4 linked regions of the Drosophila melanogaster genome follow. The protein of the gene in region 2 binds, or shares a complex with, the protein of the main gene of each other region. Each region holds a gene or a part of one and is shown on either strand. Other genes may lie near its edges. The genes, in order: wda, Spt7, Ada1-1 and Saf6.

Region 1 (6,404 bases), on a different chromosome or scaffold from region 2:
ATAAGCGAGGCGCCTGTGCGCAAGACGCAATTGGCCTTTGTGGACTCAATGGTGAAGCCGCCGCGTAGTGTGCAGCGCAAGCAAGAGCAATATGGCACCAAGGGCAAGCTAATTGCCACTCCAGCCGCCCGAGTGGCCGCCTTGTCCAGCGTGACTCCAAATGCAGCCAAGGTGGGCGATGCCCGACTACGTGTGCTGGCCGCTGCCAGGGACACGGCCCAAGTGGGTAAGTATTGTAATGATTGTGGTTAAGAATTAAATTTACCTATAATTTTTATTGAAAAGGGGCTGGACCAGCGCGATCGAAGAAGGCACCTCTAATGGCGAAGACCTTGCAGTTTATGCGCGGACGTCTCAAACGATAGATGCGCTTACTCATTATAGCTACAATCTTATACTCAACTTCTTCAGCGACAACTTAAGCAGCAGCAGTAGCAGCAACCTCGATCTATTAGGCATTCACGGTGGGATTACCTTCCAACTTTATTGGCAAAGACTTTCAGGTCTGAATAAAGTGACATTGTGATACTAGACCTTCTACTTCCCAGTGCGCTGTGGAATCAGACTGCTGCTGTCGGCATGCGTAGCATATGCATGCTATTTATTATTTATTCATGTTCTGCCCTCTTTTATTACGCTGTATAAGTCACTATATTTAAGCCAACCGGATAAAGATAAAGCTTTTGTTGCATCCCGCTGGGTCGTAGACAAGCTCATTTACATAAGTTATGATATTTGATTATAGTTGTTCAATTCATTGATTGCATGTAACTTACGATCAGAAGGCTGATCACTCCAACATTATTTAAAAATTAAGTTCAATGTTCTTTGTTCAAAAGGGCTGTGCGTATGTCCAAAATCATAGAGGTTCCAAGCTGTATATAAATGTATTTACACAATCCTAAACCTATATGAAACTACCTAAATTATTGAAGAACAGTAAAATGTCTCTTAATGCATCGCTAATTAAATTCAACCAAAAAATTCTATATTACCTTTAGATTTATTTAGTTTTGCACATTTTTAGGTATTGGGTAAAATGTTAATATATTAAAAAAAATCACTTCAACAATTGAAATTCGATTCGAATGCTCGTCTTATTTTTAATAGTTACACATTTTTCAACTTTTGTGGAAATTGGCCACTCATTACTTATGCCATGACTTCGTTTTGAAAGACATTCTTTAGCTGTGACCAGTAGACGATGCAGGTAAAGGCATTACACTGTAACCAACTCGTTTTATTCCACAAGAAAGCTACCAGGATTGTTAAATCAAAAGAATTATTTATATAAAGAATTGTTTCACACGATAGTAACAATAATATACAACTTATTACAAAATAAATTATTTTCAAACATAAGTCGTCACTAGAAAGTCTAAATTCGGGCTGAACTTTCAACCGTCTTCTTTAAGTGCCGATGCAGTAGAGCGTCTTGCTGGTCCCGTAAAAAACATCGACCAAGCGCTGGCAGGAACTATTGACAGTAAGCACACGATTCGTTGTAGCTGATGATGAGCTTCCAGCACTACTGTTGTCACTGTGGAGCAACCAAAATAAATCATCATTACCAATATTAACAAATTGCTCCGTTTCCATTCCACAAATATAACTAACCTCATGGGCGATAGTTTCTTGATGTCCCACAATCGCAAGGTACCATCGCTGCACGCTGTGGCCAGGTGCCTATTGTGCGTGCTCCAGGAAAGAGAACTAATGCTCGCCGAGTGATCCTTGAGCTCAGCCAGCTGTGCTCCGGCGGCCAAGTCGAATATACGCACCTTCGTTTCCTCTCCGGCGGCAGCCAACATCTTTCCATCTGGGCTAAACGCCAGCTGGGTCACCGCCTGACGGCAGTCGGCAAAGACACGCATCAATTTTCCGCTGGTTGCACACCACAGGCGAACGGAGTGATCTGCCGATCCTGTGGCTATGTAGTTGCCATTCGGATGGAACGCAACGCACTGTCAGAAAAAAAAAATATATATAACTAAAAGTTCAAAGACATTTTTGGTTAAACCAACCTCAACATCCTGTGTATGCCCGGCATAAATTATGAGCGCATGTTCCTTCTCTAGCGACCAGAGGCGCGCACTCAAATCCTTGGAACCCGTTACCACGTATTGGCCCACTGGACTTTCGTCCAAGCACCAAATTGGGTAGTTGTGACTTCTGTATATGGCGGCGCAATGCAGGTTGTGGGCACGCCAGCACCGCATGGTTGCGTCTTTGGACACACTATACATGAGTGGGTAGTGGGCGGAGAAGCGCACATCGGTGACTCCTTTTGTGTGACCTCGCAGCTGAAATCCGCCGTATTCGTTGCTAATTAGAAAAAAAAAACTTTAGTTGATTAAAAATTGAAAAATAAAACCAATACTAAACCTGGAAGATGAACTTACTAGGAGTTATCAGCATATTTGCAATGTCGCGCCCTGTTGCGTTCCCGTCTCTCCTCCTCAGAGCACTTGACATCCTCATCGCTGCTGTCCTCATCCGTCTCCTCCTCTTGATTCGCGCAATTGTTCAGCTCCCAGGGACACCGCTTTTGCGGATAGCGTCTGTAGAAGCTCTTGCCGCGGCAGTAGCTCTGGTTTAACTGCCACAGCTGTACGGCAGAATTGTCGAACCCGGCTAACATGTGGCACTCACTGGGATCCAGATGGGCGGAGGTGAGGCCCCGAGAACGTTCACTGATTCTGAGAAATCGCGGCAACTCCACCTGAGACTTGAGTATCTGTTCAGTGGCCGATTTAAGGGTGTCCAAGCAGGCGTCTATATTCAGTTGTAATTTACTAAGCTCTGCAGATTCATCCGTTTCTACCTCCTGTTTGATGTCTGTTTCTAGCATAATGTTTGGCTCCTCAGCGGGTCGTTTTCGGTTCGACTTTTCAGTGAGGGATTTGCTTGGTCTTATGTCTCCGCGGGTATTAAGGGTTACTGCTGGTTTGGAAACAACATCGTCCTCTCCATCCTCACCTTCCAGGTCATCCGTCAAGCCAAGCAGGTGATCCTCACTAAAGGCGCGCTGCTCATTCTCCACTATATGGACATGCAACCAGGTGTAGAGTAGGTTCATAATTAAAACGTGGCCCCGTCGTTGGAGATAAGCGCATATCCTATTAACAACTACGGCTGTAGTATGTAGTTCGTATTTCGAAGATCGAAAATGGGCCACTGTGTCATCGGACTCTGCTGCCTCCAGCCGTGTGTAGCCACTCAGGGTTTGCACCAGGCGCATAAAGTAGTCCAGTTCCGTGTCCCCAGTGTCCTGGGCTTCCTTTGCGAAGCGTATGTTAAAAGTGGACTCATTGGCCGTAGTGGAGCATCCGTTGATCTTGGTAGGTGGTGGTGCATCGTACATATCCACGGGGGCCACCAAGTGAGCATATTTGCGCAACAACTCCACAGCGCCACGCGGTTCGCGAGCCTTGAGCAGATCCAGATAGAAGTGGCACAGCATGGGTCCATAAAAGCGCTTCATTTCCAGACGCAGCGGTTCGGCCTGGGCCTCCACGAACTGCGAAAACCGACCAAATTGCTGGTCCACAGTGTGCTGGTTGTTGGTGATAACCTGGACATTTGAAAAGGTGAAGCTATTGCCACCGTGCAAATCCGTATCCAGCATTTTGTTGACAGCAAACTGCTGTTTGTTTTGCAGCAGCAAAAAATCCGACCGCCGAAATCGTTCGTTGCTCTACGGGTTTGAATATTTGAACACTCTGAGGAATTGTATATTTGAAGATTATTCACTTACCACGTAGTTTTTCTGCTTCAGCAGGAGTCCCACGGCGCAGCGTAGCAAATCGTTTTTGGAGGAGGTCTTTTTGCTGCTCGCGCTCGACTTGTTGTTATTGCTGTTGCTGTAGACGGGCGATGCAGCATGTGCGTGGTTGCTGGCGCTGGGCAGGCTCATCGTTGCGTGTTAGCCTCGCTTTGTTCCGTATCCTGATCCCGTCCTGCAGTGCGTCCGATATGCGTTCGATTATAGTGCTGACAGCGGAGATGGGTTGTCCTATCGATGTGCATTCATCGATTTTAAGCGGCTGCAACAGCTGTTCTTTCAAAATTGTTTTCGTCAGTGATGGCTATTTGGCTTCTCTTTTATAACAATATTGATATTGAAATATTTTAATTTTAAATTTATTTTTACATTTTTAACTTATATTTATATTATATTTTATTTATATTAACTAGCTTTTTATTTTTAGCTCTATTATATTCTCTATTCTTAGCTAGTTTATTTGGCTATTGTCACCACTGAAGAAAGTCAGCTGTTTGTGTTGTTGGATTCCCGAGCGCTCTTGACAATTTCTTGTATTTTCGCTGCGGTATCTCAGTTCGAGTTTTTACGTGATATAAAACAGTACCTGGTCTTCAAAAAACGAGCCATTATGGGCACCACGACAAAGTTTGTGAACGAGTTCTGTGATATTATCGATTCCTATGGCGGGCGAGATAAGGTAACATAGAAGAGCCGCACAGCCGAGTAAATTTCCAATTAATTGAAAACACACCTGTTTGTTTACGTTTGAACCGAGTGTTTTTCCCAATTCGTATGCGCAAATTTAAAAAAATGCATCGTGGCATTTTGACTGGTTTCTATTTCCTTTTTGGACTGGTCCATTGAGGGGCTCGCTTGAAATCGAAACTGAACCAACAGGTTTCCATGTTGTTGCTGCATCGATGTTGGCATTGGTCTTTGGGTCTCGAACAAGGAAGCCACAGCAGTTTGGACCTTGCCTTACTTCTTTCTGATTCGCAATGGATTTTGTATTTCGCTTTTCGCTTATCAGTCGCAGTTCGGCGGCGATCGAGTCAAGATAATGCTCAATACTATAGCCGGCAAACCTTTAAGCCGCTACCAGATAAAGCGGATAATTCGTTATGAACGAAAGGTTTGTTTGGACTGCCGCCCATCAGGAGACACGCGATCCACACATTTCCACCATCGCGAGTTTATATACCCCTACAAGGGGTGTATACAGTGCAGACAAAGAGGGAATCTTGTATAGTGTATCTCTATTTTAATAGAAAAATCGAACCTTGAATACGATAAAATATTGTTCAAAGTATTTTAGATTTATTAATTAGAACAAATAATTTGTTATACTTGATAACCATTTGAAAATATAATATAATATATTATGTGGCTGTAAACAGCGAATGGGGTGGTCACGAACTTTGGAAATACTATAGGATATTTACATAAATTAGTCGTATAGCGACATTAGTATTCCTCCGAATTGCATAACTAATTCATTGATGGCAAAGCAAGCAAACTGAACCATTAATGGGTAAACAATGAAACCACCCACAACTCATTCCGGCCAGGACGGACGACCAGGAGCACTCCACTGGCGGCCATCACACGAGATGATTGTGGCATTCGTTGTATTCTTTTTATCGCTGATAGTATTTTATCTGTTTGTGACAACCAAGCAATTCCACAAATTGCAGGGCTGACTGGCGATTGGGGTCAGGTAGAGGCAAAGGTAAACAGCGATGCCAACTCTCGTGATAGAGCAAACACACGGCTTAACGAATTGCGCAGAACAATTATTACATATATGAAATTAAATACCTATTTCAGGTGATGAAGGCATTGTGCTACAGTGCCAAACTGGTGGCTGGCTACCATGCCAAGCGGAATCCGGAACTAGCCAAGCGATACGCCACCGCCAGCTCAAGGATCTCAGGTGCGAGAGCCACACTGCGTCTCATCGACGACATACCCATGATCCAATATGCTTTGGAGTATGGCTTGGGCGAGAATGAGCCCGATCGCGTCATGCAAGTGCTGGGAGTGACGGCCAACATTGTGGATTTGCTCTACTATCCCATCGAGAAGGTGTGCTGGCTGGCCGAGCACAAGATTGTGGATGTCAAGAATGCGGATAACTGGGACAATGTCAACTCCATATTCTGGGTGCTTTCGGTGTACCTGAACCTCATGAGGTACAGAAGAATTATTCGAATCGTCAGCTTTGAATTTTCAAATTAAATTGCATCTTCTAGGACAATGCGGAATTTTTCACTGAATCAGGAAAAGCTGAACCGAACGAATAATATAAACGAGTAAGTGGTCGTCAGCCGAAAACATCCAATAAAAGCTAACAAACCTTCCAAATCCATAGATTGGATGTGAAAACGTTGACCAAGCACCGCCTGGAGATGGTGTCCATCGTTCGGATCTCACTCGACTTTGTGCACGCCGTCAGCACGCTGCCGAAAGGATATTTGTGGGGCGGCAAGCTGTCCACCCTGCAGGTGGGTGCTATTGGCACCTTATCCGCTGGCCTGGGCATCTACCAGATCTTTGCCAAGAGAAGACTGAACAAGTAGTCGGTCCGCCGTTGTATTTGCAATCCGTGTACTCGTATTTGTTGAACAGAATTTTAAGC
Region 2 (4,634 bases):
TACATATATCCAAAATTGCATTTACGTTTCGATTAAAGACTCCAATGGAAAAGGAAAATTTGGGTGCCCAAAAGCAAACCACACACAGAACTGGAAACCCGCAAACAGATTGGATGGCAATGGCATTCGTCTACAGATCTTTCATCCGTCATCGTCATCATGGTTCAGGTTCATGTAATGGAGTCGTGGAGGGGAGCGGGGGAATGAACGGCGACGGTACTAGTGGTGCGGGTGTTTCGCAGCCCCTCCAGGTTGGTCTGTCGTTGTTTCTCCATCGTCGTGTTTTCCGTGTGGTTTCATGTGCAGGACTTAATCCGAAGTGTGTGTGCTTGACTAGACGCCGAGGAAAGCTAGTGCCGGTATCAGGATCTACTCCAGTCCCAGCATCCAGTTGATGCCTTGTACTATGAAAAAGATGAGCGGCTGCCAGGCCACCAGCCAACGAATCCAATCCAGCAGGCGACCGTACAAAACGTGCGGCTTCTCCCAGCTAGAGGAGAAACAATATTAAGTAGGCCAGTCAAACGGATGGCTCTGAATGGCTTACGGATTGCGGAACATCTTCTGGAGATCGACCTTTTCCTTGCAGTAGGGACACGTCTGCTTCTTGCCCACAATGCACCAACCACGTATACAGAACTCGTGGAATACGTGGTTACAAGACAACTTGTAGGTGTTCTCAATGACGCCCTCTTCCTTCTCCGAGACCAGCAACTGATTGCCACACACTGCGCAGACATTCTGATCAAGATGTCGTGTTGGAATACCCTGAGGTGTGTAGTACTGTGGGACAAACGGGAGGGTTAGAAGATTCCAACTGGGTATCTGGCCAATGGTCAACTCACGCCAATAGCTGCCGCCATCTTATCCGAACATATCTCGGATATATCACGCCCCAGGACGCCGATGTACAGGCCGTAGAAGCAGAACATCAGGCCCACATCCATCCATGTGTTTGGTGGCTGTGAGAACATGTAATTCATGCCCAGAAAGGCGGCTATGATCACCAGATAGCCCACCAGGCCAAGGCCATAGCTGAGCTTGTAGATGAAGTAGAACCACTTGTAGACCAGCCTGAAATTGGATTTTATGGGTTATTATCTGGCCTTCGTCGGTCGCCGTTCTTATCTACGTTGACTCACCTAGGCGTTGTGCCCTGGATGGGCTTGCTGATGGCCCGTCGCATAACCAGTGCCGTGATGCAGGTGAACACCAGCCAGATGATTATGAAGCGCAGCCAGCCGAAGCTGCAGGAGATGATCAGCGGAATGAGCCACATGGCCAGCAGGGTGACGAAAGCGTAGGATCTGTAGTGCCGCTTCTTCCACTCGACCAGGATGATCTGGGCAATAACCAGGGTGACGAACAGAATGATCACCATCTCGGAGTGCATGGCATCGTGGCCGCGATGTTTCTCCACCATCAGTTGATGCTGCGCTCTGTTCGATTGGATAGCCGAAAATTTGTTATGATTTAAAGGATTTTCTAAGGCCACTTCACTTACCGCATTCGCTCCTCCGGCGTCATTTCGTCCAGGGACTGATGGACATCCGCATTAGCAGGGAATTGCAGGGAAGAGGGAAAATTTGGCAGTAGAGTGGGGCTTCCTATTCGATTCCCATTAGAAAAGACTCACCTTGTTCAAGTCCACGGGCTCATGCAGGTCCATGTGCTCCTGGTGCATCTTATTGCCGTTGTATCCGCCGTATCCCGCTGCCGCCAATCCGCCGGACAGTCCCACTCGTCGTCTGCGTCGCTGCGTTATCTTGCCCACCACGTATTGCGATCGGTTTTTACCTTTGAAATTCGTGAAACGAAAACAAATAATTACATTTTATGCCTGTGTGCTTGTCCAGCTGCAGTGGCGTTGCCATTTGTCACAGCGGCCGAAAAAACGAATACATGTATGTGTGACGTGAGCCACAAAAATACAAGCGCGACCTGATTGTTAGAACCAGCTGTCCTGAGTATGGGGTTTTTCCCAAATTGTTGCTATTTTATCATAACCTTTATTTACTTTAGCTACGACAGCGCTTTCTGATTATCGAAAACGAAACGTTCGAGGCCAACGTTGCCAGATGCCGCTGCAGGCCGTGCCGATGTTTACCGACAATCAGCTGTTTGGTTCAATGAGTTGAGTATTTCGTTCCCAGCGCAAGCAAACTTATCGATAGTCCCGATAACCAACCATGTTATTTTAGGGCCCGATAAGTAAACAACAATATATTGTTAAGTAAATGTTGTACGTAGGTTTTTAAGCGAAATAAACATGCAAACAGAGCACTGGGGCTCGCTGCCCGCAGAGGATGACGGCGGTCAACTGACGCCGGACAAATACGTGCCCACGGCGGCCAAGAAACTTAAGCTGGACGAGATTCGCCAGCGCGGAGATCCGCAACCGCAAGAAAAGCAGTAAATAAATCTAAAGAAAAGCTTTAACGCAGCCGGTAAACTAACCATATATTCCATGTAGCCACAAGTTGGAGCTGAGGAGTGCGCTGGTCACCCAGACCATCGAGGTGATGAAGCAAACCGAGGTGCTGCAGTCCCTCATTGAAACGTACTCCAACAAAAATGCAAGTTCTTGGTTCTTGTTTAACCGTAGTATTTACCTAATTTACCCAATGAATTCATAGGGAAGTTCCAATTACCTCTTGAATCCGTGCCTAATGATACCGGAAGTGGACTTTCCGCCGGAGAACGCAGCCGAACTGGTGGGCAGCCAAAAGTTTCAGAAGCCCATTTGGTTCACACCAACCGTGGACACAGCCTACTCTCGCGGGGATCCGGAGGCATATCCGGAGATCCCCAGCTCTGCTTGCCGCCAGGCGATGCGCAAGGTGATGTGCGGCATGCTGCGCCTGGCCGGCTTCACCGACTGTTCCGAGTCGGCGGTGCAACTGCTGACGGACGCCACCGAGGAGTTCCTGCGCAGCTTTATCGGCGAGTATCGCGGCTACTATGACAGTCAGCCGCGGCTGCAGAATTCCACGGTGCTGCAGCTGGTCCCACTGGAGCGCGCCCATTTCGCCCAAACGGGCACCTCGCTCACCCAGGTGCACAACTACTACAAGCACAAGGTGCTGGCCAGGAATCGCGCGGAGATCGCTGAGTTCAACAGCGTACTGCAGGAGTACGACAAACTGATGAAGGAGAGCCAGAGCAGCATGCAGAAGCAGCACAACGAGTTCAACGGCCACGACTTTCTCAACATCCTGGACAACAGCGCCACAGGCAGCAGCCAGAGCATAGGCGGCATGGCCATGGGCGATATGCTGCAGGATCTGGGCGGTAGCACGGGCTCCAGTGGCACAGTCAGCTCCCAGCAGATGCTGTACGGCCTGCTCGATGGCCAGATATCGTCCAATACCTCCAACATGACGGGGACGAGCGGCAATGGCAGCACGGGCGGCAATGGAAATGGCAATGGGGCCACGATTAGCAACTTTCACGCCACTTTTGAAACGTAATTGTTAAAATTGCGGGGATAACTTCATTATCTCACACTGAGATATCTCTAGCAATCAAATGTTTCACACTTTTTATAGAACGACTAAGATCTCTAGGCTCAAGTTAAGTTAAGCTCTAAGGAAACGTACTAATTAAATAGTTTTTATTACGTGTTTTGTTTATTGCTCATCTTTTTGCTAATCCTCGACTCGTTCCAGTTGTTTTGTCGCCTCCGCTTGGTGAACTCGTTGGTGGGTTCAATGGCCACAAGTTTGGTTGCATTCGGATCGCTGGCTCTGTACTGGAACACTTTGTCGTGGCGCGTCTTTTTCTGGGCCCACGCCAGCAGGTCCCTGCCTTCCAGTATGGAGTTGCCAGTGACCACCACAGAGTCCAGAGCTTCGGGCGCGGATTGGTCTTCTTCGGGGGTCCGTCTCCTTATGTTAGGTTTCTTTTTCGGACCTGCAGGACCTTCCACCACCAAATCGGCGATCAAATAGCAATCGGCATTGGACACGAGCTTGACTTTGTCGGGTGGGGGCTTCTGTTTGCCTACGCCATTGGGTACATCCAGAGAGAACTCGATTTGCTCCTGGATTATGCCGCTCAGTCTGCGCCAAATGTGCGTTTGCATCTCCTGCGAGATCTGCAGATCGCTGGCAGGCGCGTCCTGATCCTCCACGTAGCGTTCACTTTTTACCGGCTGTGCTTCGTCCTTCCTAGTGGCCAACGGTTGCTCCTCGTTGGCTACTTCATGCGCCTCCTCTTTTGGCTGCGATTGATACATGGCATTTGTGAGCAACGTGGTGTCCGCCGCCTCCAGGAACTGGCGCATCTGGGCGTCGTCCTCGGAATCAGAGTCGCTATCCCTTGATTTAACTGGCATTTTTTGTACGCTCTTTGAATATTTATTTATTTACATTTAATTTTTAAACGATAGGTGTGCCGTTAACGTGCACGATGGTTGGAACTGCCATTTTCCAAAGCGATAAGTATCGATAGATTCTAAAAGCGCTATGATGGAATTCGAAATTACAAATAGGAGATTGATAATATTTTTGATTTGGCCATTTAGCAGACTTTTTAATAATTTTAAAAGAATCTAAACAAGTGATTTAATGTGATTGATTGTTAATTAAGGAAGTGCAGTCCAACTTTCCACGGTGATTATTACATTTAATGCT
Region 3 (4,503 bases), on a different chromosome or scaffold from region 2:
TAATCCCTTCGCTGCAGCAGCTCCGGCTGCCGCCAATACATCTGCATCCATTTTTGGAAAGCCCACGCTGAGTGCGGGAAATATATTTGGGAATGCCACAAGCCAAGCCAGCAACACCAATAGCATTTTCGGCGGAACGATTAGCAATGCCAATGCAAGGAATAGCATTTTTGGTGTAGGAGCTGCGGCAACAGGTGCACAAAGTGTCTTTGGACAGCCACAGCAGCAACAGCTGCAGCCTGCTGCACAAGCTTTCCAAGGGGGCAACATTTTCGCCCAGGCGCAGGTTCAGGTGCAAGCTCAGCCAGTGAATCCTAATCCTTTCGGTGGTTTCCAACAGCAGCAGCAGCAACCGCAGTCGACGGGAATCTTTGGCCAAGCCGCAAGCCAAAATATGGGCGGAATGTTTACTCAGGCTTCTCAGCAACTACAACAGCAGCAGCAGGCAGCTGCCTCCGGATTATTTGCTCAAGCAGCAGCATCTGCATTCCCTAATCAACAACAGATGCAGCAGCAGCAACAGATGCAGCAGCAGCAACAGATGCAACAGCAACAAATGCATCAGCAGCAGCAGATGCAATAGCAACAAATGCAGCAGCAACAACAATTTCAAATGCAACAGCAACAGCAAATGATGCAGCAGCAGCAGCAGCAGCAAGCTCAACCGACCAACGAAATCCAGTCCTCAGTTTACAGTCGCATGGAGGATCTCAACGAGCAGGAAATCGAAGCATTCAAGGCGGATCAATTTCTACCAGGTGCCTTGCCATTCAAACCGCCTCCACGGAATCTTTGCTGAACCAAACACTTAATGGTACACTAGCGTATAATGTATATATTTTTACAGAAGCTGATATAATAAAATAATTAGAACTTATAAGCTAATGCATCATCATATTGAGTCGTTCCATGTTTATGGAGTAGACGGCATGCGAGCCTATCAGGTTGCGATCCCGTAAGGCCAGTTGGCAGTCCTTGAGGGTGATTACTGTGCGTTCGGTGGGTTGGCTGAAAGAAACAAAACCTAAGTTTGTGTTTCACATGAAAATCTCATTATTATTCAGGAGCTTACACTTCTTCGCAGGCGGAGAGGAAGGTCACATCGTCGTTCTGTCGCCGCATAAAGTTGGCCGTATTCAGTTCCTTGTCCAGTTCCAGCGGCGTGTCGTCGACCTTCTGCCGGGTGACGGTGTTGCGCAGCGAAGGATCACGCAACGGAGCACCTACATCGTAGTAAAAGTTTCCCTCGCCGCTGGTCTTGTAGTGCTTTCGTTTCTTGATGATTGCCGATAGTAGATCCTTGAGCAGAACTTGCACGGCCATGGCAACGTACTCGGCGACATTGTCGTCCACGGAGACAAGTCCGATTTCCCAGGCACCGATCAGAAATCGTCCCATAATGAATCCCGCGTCGGGCAGGAAAAGTTCCTGCGCGCAGTACCGCTGCGACTGAAGCTGTTGCTGTTGCTGGTCCGACGGAATACCGATCGTGGTTGGCGGACGAATGATTTGCATGTTGTCCTCGGCTACAAAGTCCAGGACGTCGCTGAGCTCAAAATTAAGGCGTTCGGCGAAGGTGCGGCAACTTCTTTTGCGCCGTTTGCTTCGGTTGCCACTACTGCTGCTGGTCTGGACGGCCGGAGGATTCTCCAGGGGAGCAAAGGCGTCGATCTTGTTGAGCAGGGCGAGCAGGAACTGATTGTGCAGGTGCAGTTTGTCAGGTGTTAGGATTTTCCGCGACTCCGCATCGAATTCCTCCTTAGTCCAACGGCTCCGAAACCAATTCTTCATGTTGGCCCGGTAACGCTCCCAGTTGTCGCCCAGAGCCACCACTAGCGCCTCCTTGGTGGCCAGAACTCTGTCGGTAAGCATTTTAGTATTGGGAATAACAACTAAACAGGAAAATCCAACTGTTTGCGAATTGCTATATAAACAAATGAATGCAGCTGATTCGAGTGACCGTTCAAAGAACGGCTGAAAATACCAGATACATTTGAGATAAAAACCGTTATTTTTGAAGAACCCTTTAAAAAAATATTGGTTTTAATCTTTAGTGTTCACAGTTTTTATTGTGTACAAGTTAGTTAGTTAAAATATAAACATTAAAGATAGAGCCCACGCCATTCACACAACATAAGATGATAATATTTGCGAAGCTATTTGATCATTAAAAAAGTAATAGAATAGAATAAATATCTTGGTTAATGTTAAAAAATTTAACATAATTTAACATAAATTGTCAATACAATGAGTATTGTATATAAATGCTACGCATAAGAACATACTTAATATTGAAGGTAAACATTACACTGAAAATAACTATGGTTACATAAATATGGTATCGGATTTAGAAGGATAAGGAAAATTCTTTTAGCCTAGAAACACTCATCCTAATTGACGCGATCCCATCGCCACACGGTGCTGTCGTCGCACACGCAAACTAAAATGGAACCGTCTTTGGAGAAGGAAGTCTGTCGGATGGTGGAGTTGCTTTTGGGATGAACCAGCTGGCTACACTTTGTTAAATTGGGATCATTGCAGTCCAATTCCCAGACAAATGTTGTGCCCAGTTGATTGCCCAAGGCCAGAATCTTTTGCCAGGCGTTGAAGGCGAAGCGTACGAACCAGATTTCCGTAGAAATTGGTCAGATAGGGGAGCATAGCGTCCAATACACGTGGGTCCATTGGAGTGGTGGCCTGGGCATCCAGGTAAAGTGGTCTACCCTCGGTCTGTTCGTTCTTTATGTTGAATCGCACCTGTCTCTCCCGGAATTCTACGAACGAATACGATTTTGGTAAGCGGTAACTGTGCATCTTGGAGGATCCGCTTACCTTTGGATGTGGCGGCTGGTTTAGCCGCTGTCCTGGAGGAGGTGGCCTCGTGTCTAACCACATTGGCTAATGCATTCGTCGCCCGGGAGCGGAGGACCTGCGCCTGGATGCGTCCCAGCACTTTTTGCATTCTGATGGAATCCTAGAAATTCTGGTGTTAAAATTCGTTATCACGGATTTCACAATCAGTGGGACCGTATTCGGCGGCACGAGATATACCAAAGGACTCCGGAATTCACTTTAAAATTATCTGATTCGATTATGCAGAAGCAAGTTTCTGAATTTCTTTGAACATATGAAAAATGAATAGCATCTGTGCAAGAAACCAATATTTTTCAGATATATTCGCACTTAATGTATAATTTACAAGGAACTATATTTTCAAAAACCAGTTTTCATCTTAAATATGTTTGCTTACAAAATTATCTTAATCATTCAGCGAACTTAAGTTACGAATTCACGAAATTGCGCGCATAGGCACGGTATATTTTTCTCAGTGAGCCATAAAATACTCAAAGAATACTCAATACGCAAAGTAAGACAATTATAAACAAAAGTACAAAAGTTGAAGCAGTTTTGAAATAATAAATATAGGAAATAGGCAAAAATTAAAATCAAATTTAAATATGGTTGTCTGCCGGTTCTTTCAACAAGGCTCCTGCCGCTATGGCGCAAAGTGCAACAACGAGCATTTCGATGTTAAGTGAGTACATTGATATTAAAACTATGCAGATGAACTAATAACTTAATTATTTTAGGCAATATCTCAAAGCCGACATGGAATCCAGCCTCAATGGCAAGATGTGGCCTTTGTCCGCCTACGGACCCTTTAAGGACAAAGCGAATTTCCCCAACTTTATTCAGGACCAATCCTTCGAGGAGGTGCGGTTCATGTGTTACGAGGCCAAACGACAAAACCAATTCGAACAGTTCAGCCAACAGTTTAACCGTGAGGTCCTAGAGGCTAACAACAAGATGAAGACCATGCTTCAGATGTCGCCGCAGGTCCTGGAAATGATGATCAAGATCCACGAGACGCCGGAGGGCGGCACTGTGTCGGCTGCCCCTCAGCAGTCCAGTAATCCCTTCGCTGCAGCAGCTCCGGCTGCCGCCAATACATCTGCATCCATTTTTGGAAAGCCCACGCTGAGTGCGGGAAATATATTTGGGAATGCCACAAGCCAAGCCAGCAACACCAATAGCATTTTCGGCGGAACGATTAGCAATGCCAATGCAAGGAATAGCATTTTTGGTGTAGGAGCTGCGGCAACAGGTGCACAAAGTGTCTTTGGACAGCCACAGCAGCAACAGCTGCAGCCTGCTGCACAAGCTTTCCAAGGGGGCAACATTTTCGCCCAGGCGCAGGTTCAGGTGCAAGCTCAGCCAGTGAATCCTAATCCTTTCGGTGGTTTCCAACAGCAGCAGCAGCAACCACAGTCGACGGGAATCTTTGGCCAAGCCGCAAGCCAAAATATGGGCGGAATGTTTACTCAGGCTTCTCAGCAACTACAACAGCAGCAGCAGGCAGCTGCCTCCGGATTATTTGCTCAAGCAGCAGCATCTGCATTCCCTAATCAACAACAGATGCAGCAGCAGCAACAGATGCAGCAGCAGCAACAGATGCAACAGCAACAAATGCATCAGCAGCAGCAGATGCAACAGCAACAAATG
Region 4 (6,278 bases), on a different chromosome or scaffold from region 2:
GGGTGCAATCATCGCGCCATGTGGCTTCATATGCCACAGCGGCGGCGGCGGCAGTTAAGACGAAGCCACCAAAGGCAAAGTCCAAGGGCAAAAAGCAGAAGGGGGAGCCCCTAATCTCCTGCAGAAGAAGCCAGTTCGATTTAACCCAATACGAGCAGACGGATGCCAAGTTTGGGAGTCTTTCGCTGGCCTCCAAGGGCTGGCTGCACAACAAATCCAAGGGAGACTTCTTCATCCTGAACGCCAGCGTGCGAGGTGAGGAACTCCAGCAGGAAATGCAGACCGTCGATGAGTTCCTCGAGAGCACGGGGATGCAGATTCATCCGCAACTCCTTGAGAACTTGCGAGTCGAGCTGGGCATCAAATTACTGACGGGAATCCAAAAACAGGGAATGCCCGTTGTCCATGGAAATGAGCACTGCCTCATTGCCGCTGAAACTGGGTGTGGAAAAACAATTACATATCTCCTGCCTATCGTAGACAAACTCCTCCAGAAAGAAGTGGTCACCGAACGAAAACTCAACACCCCCCGTGTCTTGATCCTCACTCCCGGCAGAGAACTAGCCACGCAGATTGCTGGGGTCACGGAGAAGCTCACCCAGGGCACCAATCTCAAAGTGCAATCTTTACTTGGCGGCAATACCAAGCAGCTTATGATGAACCCACAGTTCGAGGAGGTGGACATACTGGTCGCCACTCTGGGTGCACTTAGCAAACTGGTGACCACTGGCATCTACCGCATGGAGCAGGTTCGTCATCTGGTTCTAGACGAAGCGGACACCCTCCTAGATGATACGTTCACAGACAAACTTTCCTACTTCCTCAGGAGATTTCCCGTAAGTCATTCTAGGCGATTACCAAAGGAATGGCTTCAATCAGCTTGTTTTTTCTTATTCGACAGTTCCACTTGGTGCAAAAGGAGGATGCTGGCACCCAGATGATCCTGGCCTCGGCCACCATGCCCACGAACACCAGAGAGATCCTTCACAAAGTCATAGACGTGGACACCATCCGTGAGGTCGTCAGTCCGCACCTGCACCGACTGATGTCTCATGTGACGCAGAAGTTCCTGCGGCTGTCGAAGGCCGATCGGCCCGCCACACTTCTGTCACTCGTGAAGCATGATCTTGCCAAACGTCGCCCTCTTATCGTGTTCAGCAACAAGTCCACCACCAGTGACTTCGTTTCCATCTTCCTGAACAACAGCGGAGTGAACTGCTTAAATCTGAATGGGGATATGCTGATGAAGATCCGTCTTGGCCGCTTCGAGCAGTTCCAAAACGGTCACTGCGACGTCCTTTCCACCACCGATGTGGGAAGTCGTGGCCTGGATACCACACGAGCTCGACATGTGGTCAACTTTGACTTTCCGCTCCACGTCTCCGATTATATCCATCGTTGTGGCAGGATCGGTCGGGTGGGCAACATGGACAAGGCGCTAGTCACGAACCTGATATCATCGCGCCGCGAAATCGACGTCGTCCAGCGAATTGAGCACGCAGCTCGAACAGGTGGACTTCTGCCGGATGTGAATGCCAACATCCGAAACATTATCAACAAGCGGATTGTGGCGGAGATGAAAGCTGCAGGAATGCCCGTGCCCGCTTTGGGCTCACTAAATGGACATACGCCTCAGGAAGAAGCCTTTTAGTTCTGTGTTTTTATGTATTACGAGTAAAGTTGTATCACCTTTCGGAAGACCGAAGAGGAAGTCTAAAGTAAACGAAGAGTTTTATTGAGATCCCCAGGTCCTCCTGGACCTCCAGAAGGTCTTATAATACTTTCCCAAGTCCCTTTCAGATCCTTAGGTAGTGATAGCCACTGATGGGCGACCACTTTCTCACGTTGGTCAGGGGCTTAAAGAGTTTTCGTTTGGCGATCAGGATGTCGGAGCTGGCACCGCCACCCCCACCACCGTTCGCTGCCGACGAAGGCGAGTCTTCGGAGTGGGGAACAGTCGCAACCTTCGGCTTCAGCAGCACCGGGCGGCATCCTGCAAACTTAAAGCGGATGTTGCCCGCGCAGTTGAGCTGAAGATTTGGTGACTGAAGGTCGGGGAAAGCCTCGCAGAGCGTAGGCTTCGGTTTGAGTGCCTTGCTAGGATCGTCTCCGTGGCACATGGCTGCCGCAAGAGTACTCCATTCCAACCGACGCACTCCCGGCACTGATTCTATTCTGTAAGCGGGTTGTTTGGCCTTCACATACCGTCTGGTTACCATCTTTTCGTAGGCTCCTGCAATGATTTTTAGTTACTTAACCGCTTTTCATGGAACACATGGGTGTTTCTTACGCGCATAGTGGACCAAGAAGGGCTGCAGAGCAGCACCGCATCCGTACTCCAGCCATTCATACAGGTATACGTCATCATGACCGCCAAGGAAGATGGCAGCCGGAGCCAGATCCGGCCACAGGCTATCCGGGATTTCCTCGACGCGCAGTTTGTAGATGTAGGGAATAAACTCACGAAAGGCATATTCTCCCAGGGCAATGAGACCGCGCACTGCTCTACTGATATACCTAAAGTCTTAATTAAGAAATCCAAAGATAAGGATCCAGGCTAACAAATTGTAAGGATGATTTACCTCTCTCACTGCTGACGTGGCGACCTTCGAAGAATCTCGCTAGGCGTCTCTTGATCAAAAACAGGCACTCTGCATGTAGGTAACCACTTTGAGATGCCAGCTGTCCTATAGTTTCACACAGCTCGTCCACCAGGCCATTGCCGACTGGACAGGCAAAGTAGCTGGATAGGTGTTCCGCCTCCGGCTGAGGATTCAATTCCTCCTCCTCCGATTGCAGCTTGTAGATTGTGTGTTCCATGGTGCTCTCACCCGGAAACATCTGGGGTTCTTGCTCCTGTTTCTCTACTCCCATGACCTCCGGATTTTCCTGGGTTTCCGGATTATGGCACTGGTCTGGCTCAACCTTTAGTTCTTCTTCAAACTCCATTTTGATGGAGGTGGTTTGTCCCGGATCTGGGTCGACGTGTGGAGCTTTGATAGTTTCGTAAGGTGCCATTAGCTGGCTGACCAGTACCTCGGCCAGGTTGAAGTACTCCGGCCGGCAGGCATTGTGATTAGCAGTGGCGTTGTAGTTGCATGCTCGGAGCAGTCGCCAGCATCGCTGGCTCAAATGGTCCTGCTGCTTAAAGGCTAGCAACTGGACCATCTTACTCACAATCACTCGGTAGATAGATCCCATCAGGGGTGTCTGAAAAGCATGGCAGACGGCGGCCGTCTGGGATTTGCTGTCCGCAAAAAGGGCTGCCGTCACAAGACTCTGGACACACTGTCTTAGTTGGTCCATGTGCTTATCCTCCACTGGGCAGATGCTCTGAAAGTCTGCATCATCAGGTGTGCACAGATTGACTTCCTTCTGAAACTCCGCGCTCAGCTCGAAGATCTTATCCGAGTGAAAGTAAAAACTGCCGTCATAGTCGATCCGGTCCCAGTCGCTGTCCATCGCACCCAGCATAGGCGGCACATCGGCATCTTTTAGCACTTCGTTCACCAGGTCGTATGTCACCACTCCGCCCGAGTGGCGCGAGTATATTTTGACATTCTGAGAGATCAAGAGGTTAGAGGGATTAAAGAGGTGTATTACGGTCGACTTACATTGATCAGCTCCCAGACTTTGTAGGAGGCATCTTCCGCCAAACGGGCGCACACATCCTGGGAGAGTTCCACATCGGTCTGGTCGTGCTGCTCCCAAAAGATCTTGATGCTGCGCGGATCGAAACCAGCATAGCTCTTCTGATGACCCTACAGTAAAGAGAGCTTGTACCATAAGAGGGCCCTGAGATTGGCATCCTTACCATTCGACTGGAGTTGCCAGAGGCTTCTGCGCCCGCGATGCCGCCTGCAAGTCCGTGCCCACCACTTCCTGCTACCGCAAATGAGGCGTCAAACAGATTGTAGTTACCCAGACTAGATGTTGGCGTGGTGGGCGTTGTCACCATGTTTAGGTGAGTGGGCGTGGCCGGCAGGCTGCCCACTGCAACGCCCCCGCTCACTGCGGATGCGATGGAGGATGATGCGGATGCCGACAGGGAATTCTTTCCAGTCAACTCCAATTTCGCCGACTTAGATCGCGACTTAGTGGACTTTTTGCTGACTTTGCTGTGCGATGACTTGTTCAGCTCGTCAGTATTGCTGGCGCCAGAGGTTTTCATCTTCTTGGTTTTGTATAATTCATAAATGTATATATTTTCAACAGTTGGTAAATAAACAACGAAGCTGCACCACAAAATAAACAAATCTTGCCAGATTATTAACCCAACTATCGATGGTGCCAACGACTTATCGATATATTGATGAGCACTCGACTGTTTTCAAGCCAAGCCCGATAACACCAGTACTGATAAGAATAACAACATAATTGGTATTCGAATTTAATTCCATTTATTTAAATGCTATAAACACAATGGCAGAAGCGGCAAATGTGCGCCAGAACCTTCAAAATGTGCCGTCGATCTTCGAAATTTCAGCGTCAGAGACGCTGGACAACCTGATTTACCCGGCACTGAGCAAGATATTCGACTACTTTGGACTACGCCTGGACTTTAAACTATGGGGGAGTTTGAGGATTCAGGAGGAGCTGTCGCCATTGCTGACTTGGCTGCTGCAGTACCTGTATCTGCGCAAGAGGGCCTCCTCTTTCGGTGAGAGCTTTTACGGATTGCAAAGGACGGTCACAACCACTGGGGATCTGCTGAACCGCAGGCAGCAGTTCGCCTCTGCCACACTGCTAACCTTCATGCCTTACGTGGAGCGGAAGCTAAGGACCAGGATCACCAGGCACGAGGACACCAGTCCCTGGGAGCAACGCCTTCTAAGCGCATTCCATGCTTTCCATGCCGCCAAGGCGGCGCACACATTCTTTTACCTCGTAAAGTACGCCTCAAACCACTCGCCCATCTTCAGATTGTTGGGGCTGACCCTTCGCTATCCCAGCGAACCTCCCAAAGAGGATCAGTGGACCTACGTGGTCCTAAAGATGCTGGAGGTCTTGGCCTTCTTCCTGCAGTTCGTCCAGTGGTGGTACTCCAACGACCAGCGGCGGAAAGTGGGTGGAACTCTGATAAATCCCGAAGCGATGCCGAGAAAGCAGCTGCCCAAGGAAGTGCAGCAGAGCCTTCCCCAGCGGGGAGAGTGCCCAGTCTGCCTGCTGTCCATCCAGACGCCCACTGCCTGCTCCGTTTCCGGCTACGTCTTTTGCTGGAAGTGCATCGTTAGCCACATGAAGGAGCACGGCACCTGCCCGGTCACCCACTATCCCATCAGTCTGGACGACCTGGTGCGCATCTACGAGACGTAACGTTAAGCATTCCTTTTATGTTTTTTGCTTGTTTTTGTTTAATACATTTTATAAGGAATTGGGAACTGTTTACATCTCGCTGAGGAAGAAACCCAAACGTTGGTCGTAACATATGTAGACGTGGTAGAAGTCAAAGTAGACCGTGCATAGATAGATAAAGAAGCACTCACAGGAGATGAACTCGCCCATACCGAATACGGAGTAGGCTGCAGAGGATCCGGGGATTAGAATTGTAGACATCCTTCCATTCGGTTAGGTTCTACTCACCCAAGGGAAAGCAAAACTTCTGGTGTATAAAGTAAAAAATCCACATGACCACCACCCAGACGTAGTAGGTGAGCACCAGACCGCTCTTCAACCGCAAGGAGAATTCCTCATGCAGCTGCCCAATCCTATCGCTCATATAGTACTTGGCGCACACAAAGGAACCTGCCATGTAAATGGCACACGATACGAATAGCGACAAGGCGATGGTTATGTGCAGCAATGAGTCGCCATCCTCTTGGGGGAAGGTGCCCCATAGCAGTACGCTGGAACTACTGACAGCCATAATGATGGCCATCAGGCAGCCGAAACCTCGGACCGGCCTGCGCAGATTCCTCCGATAGAATCGGAACTGCAGCCATGCACTGGCAATGAGAAATGGGAACTCCAGGTAGCAAGCCAGAGCCCACACTTTGTGCTGAGACTTGGCAGCCGCCGATGTGGAGGGAAAGATGTTGAAGGCATTACAGGTGGTATACGTGGTGGACTGGAAGTCCGTGGTGATGGCCATCACCAGGTTGTACACCATGCAGACGGGCAATTGCAGAAGCCCCAGTGCGAGAATCGGACCAACTGGGATGCGGAAATGCCGCCTCGCCTGCAAATCCTTGATGGAGCTGGGCAACAGCTTGGCTTGATCCTCCACAAAGTGCAGCATTTAAGAGCAGGTTAATCCTAGGACAAGTCGGTCAGACAAT

What was found.
Region 1: Spt7 (region 2) and wda share a complex: the UniProt entries of both Drosophila melanogaster proteins name them as parts of the spt-Ada-Gcn5 acetyltransferase (SAGA) complex.
Region 3: Spt7 (region 2) and Ada1-1 share a complex: the UniProt entries of both Drosophila melanogaster proteins name them as parts of the spt-Ada-Gcn5 acetyltransferase (SAGA) complex.
Region 4: Spt7 (region 2) and Saf6 share a complex: the UniProt entries of both Drosophila melanogaster proteins name them as parts of the spt-Ada-Gcn5 acetyltransferase (SAGA) complex.

The regions. Positions count from the first base shown.
Region 1 is NT_033777.3:23,254,084-23,260,487, forward strand, and holds wda (will decrease acetylation), read right to left. Parts: upstream 4,005-6,404; 5' UTR 3,917-4,004; coding exon 3,758-3,916; intron 3,698-3,757; coding exon 2,403-3,697; intron 2,326-2,402; coding exon 2,025-2,325; intron 1,965-2,024; coding exon 1,618-1,964; intron 1,541-1,617; coding exon 1,411-1,540; 3' UTR 987-1,410; downstream 1-986. Other genes in the region: EloA (elongin A), read left to right, coding at 1-226, 286-365; Pex11c (peroxin 11c), read left to right, coding at 4,827-4,898, 5,594-5,958, 6,019-6,078, 6,138-6,345. UniProt on the Drosophila melanogaster protein: Component of the transcription regulatory complex SAGA, a multiprotein complex that activates transcription by remodeling chromatin and mediating histone acetylation and deubiquitination. The SAGA complex predominantly acetylates histone H3.
Region 2 is NC_004354.4:17,848,272-17,852,905, forward strand, and holds Spt7 (Spt7), read left to right. Parts: upstream 1-2,188; 5' UTR 2,189-2,269; coding exon 2,270-2,412; intron 2,413-2,473; coding exon 2,474-2,576; intron 2,577-2,636; coding exon 2,637-3,470; 3' UTR 3,471-3,616; downstream 3,617-4,634. Other genes in the region: CG15814 (uncharacterized protein), read right to left, coding at 370-490, 548-783, 846-1,074, 1,143-1,439, 1,505-1,539, 1,637-1,684; CG32554 (uncharacterized protein), read right to left, coding at 3,617-4,336. UniProt on the Drosophila melanogaster protein: Component of the transcription regulatory complex SAGA, a multiprotein complex that activates transcription by remodeling chromatin and mediating histone acetylation and deubiquitination. The SAGA complex predominantly acetylates histone H3.
Region 3 is NT_033779.5:11,994,273-11,998,775, reverse strand, and holds Ada1-1 (transcriptional adaptor 1-1), read right to left. Parts: upstream 1,968-4,503; 5' UTR 1,873-1,967; coding exon 1,073-1,872; intron 1,009-1,072; coding exon 882-1,008; 3' UTR 811-881; downstream 1-810. Other genes in the region: Qtzl (quetzalcoatl), read right to left, coding at 2,533-2,774, 2,833-2,962; CG18789 (uncharacterized protein), read left to right, coding at 3,459-3,535, 3,591-4,503. UniProt on the Drosophila melanogaster protein: Component of the transcription regulatory complex SAGA, a multiprotein complex that activates transcription by remodeling chromatin and mediating histone acetylation and deubiquitination. The SAGA complex predominantly acetylates histone H3.
Region 4 is NT_033779.5:811,661-817,938, forward strand, and holds Saf6 (SAGA factor-like TAF6), read right to left. Parts: upstream 4,291-6,278; 5' UTR 4,172-4,290; coding exon 3,815-4,171; intron 3,762-3,814; coding exon 3,615-3,761; intron 3,562-3,614; coding exon 2,583-3,561; intron 2,525-2,582; coding exon 2,291-2,524; intron 2,234-2,290; coding exon 1,797-2,233; 3' UTR 1,654-1,796; downstream 1-1,653. Other genes in the region: Dbp21E2 (DEAD box protein 21E2), read left to right, coding at 1-836, 902-1,651; Pex12 (peroxin 12), read left to right, coding at 4,423-5,316; CG15880 (uncharacterized protein), read right to left, coding at 5,386-5,522, 5,584-6,238. UniProt on the Drosophila melanogaster protein: Component of the transcription regulatory complex SAGA, a multiprotein complex that activates transcription by remodeling chromatin and mediating histone acetylation and deubiquitination. The SAGA complex predominantly acetylates histone H3.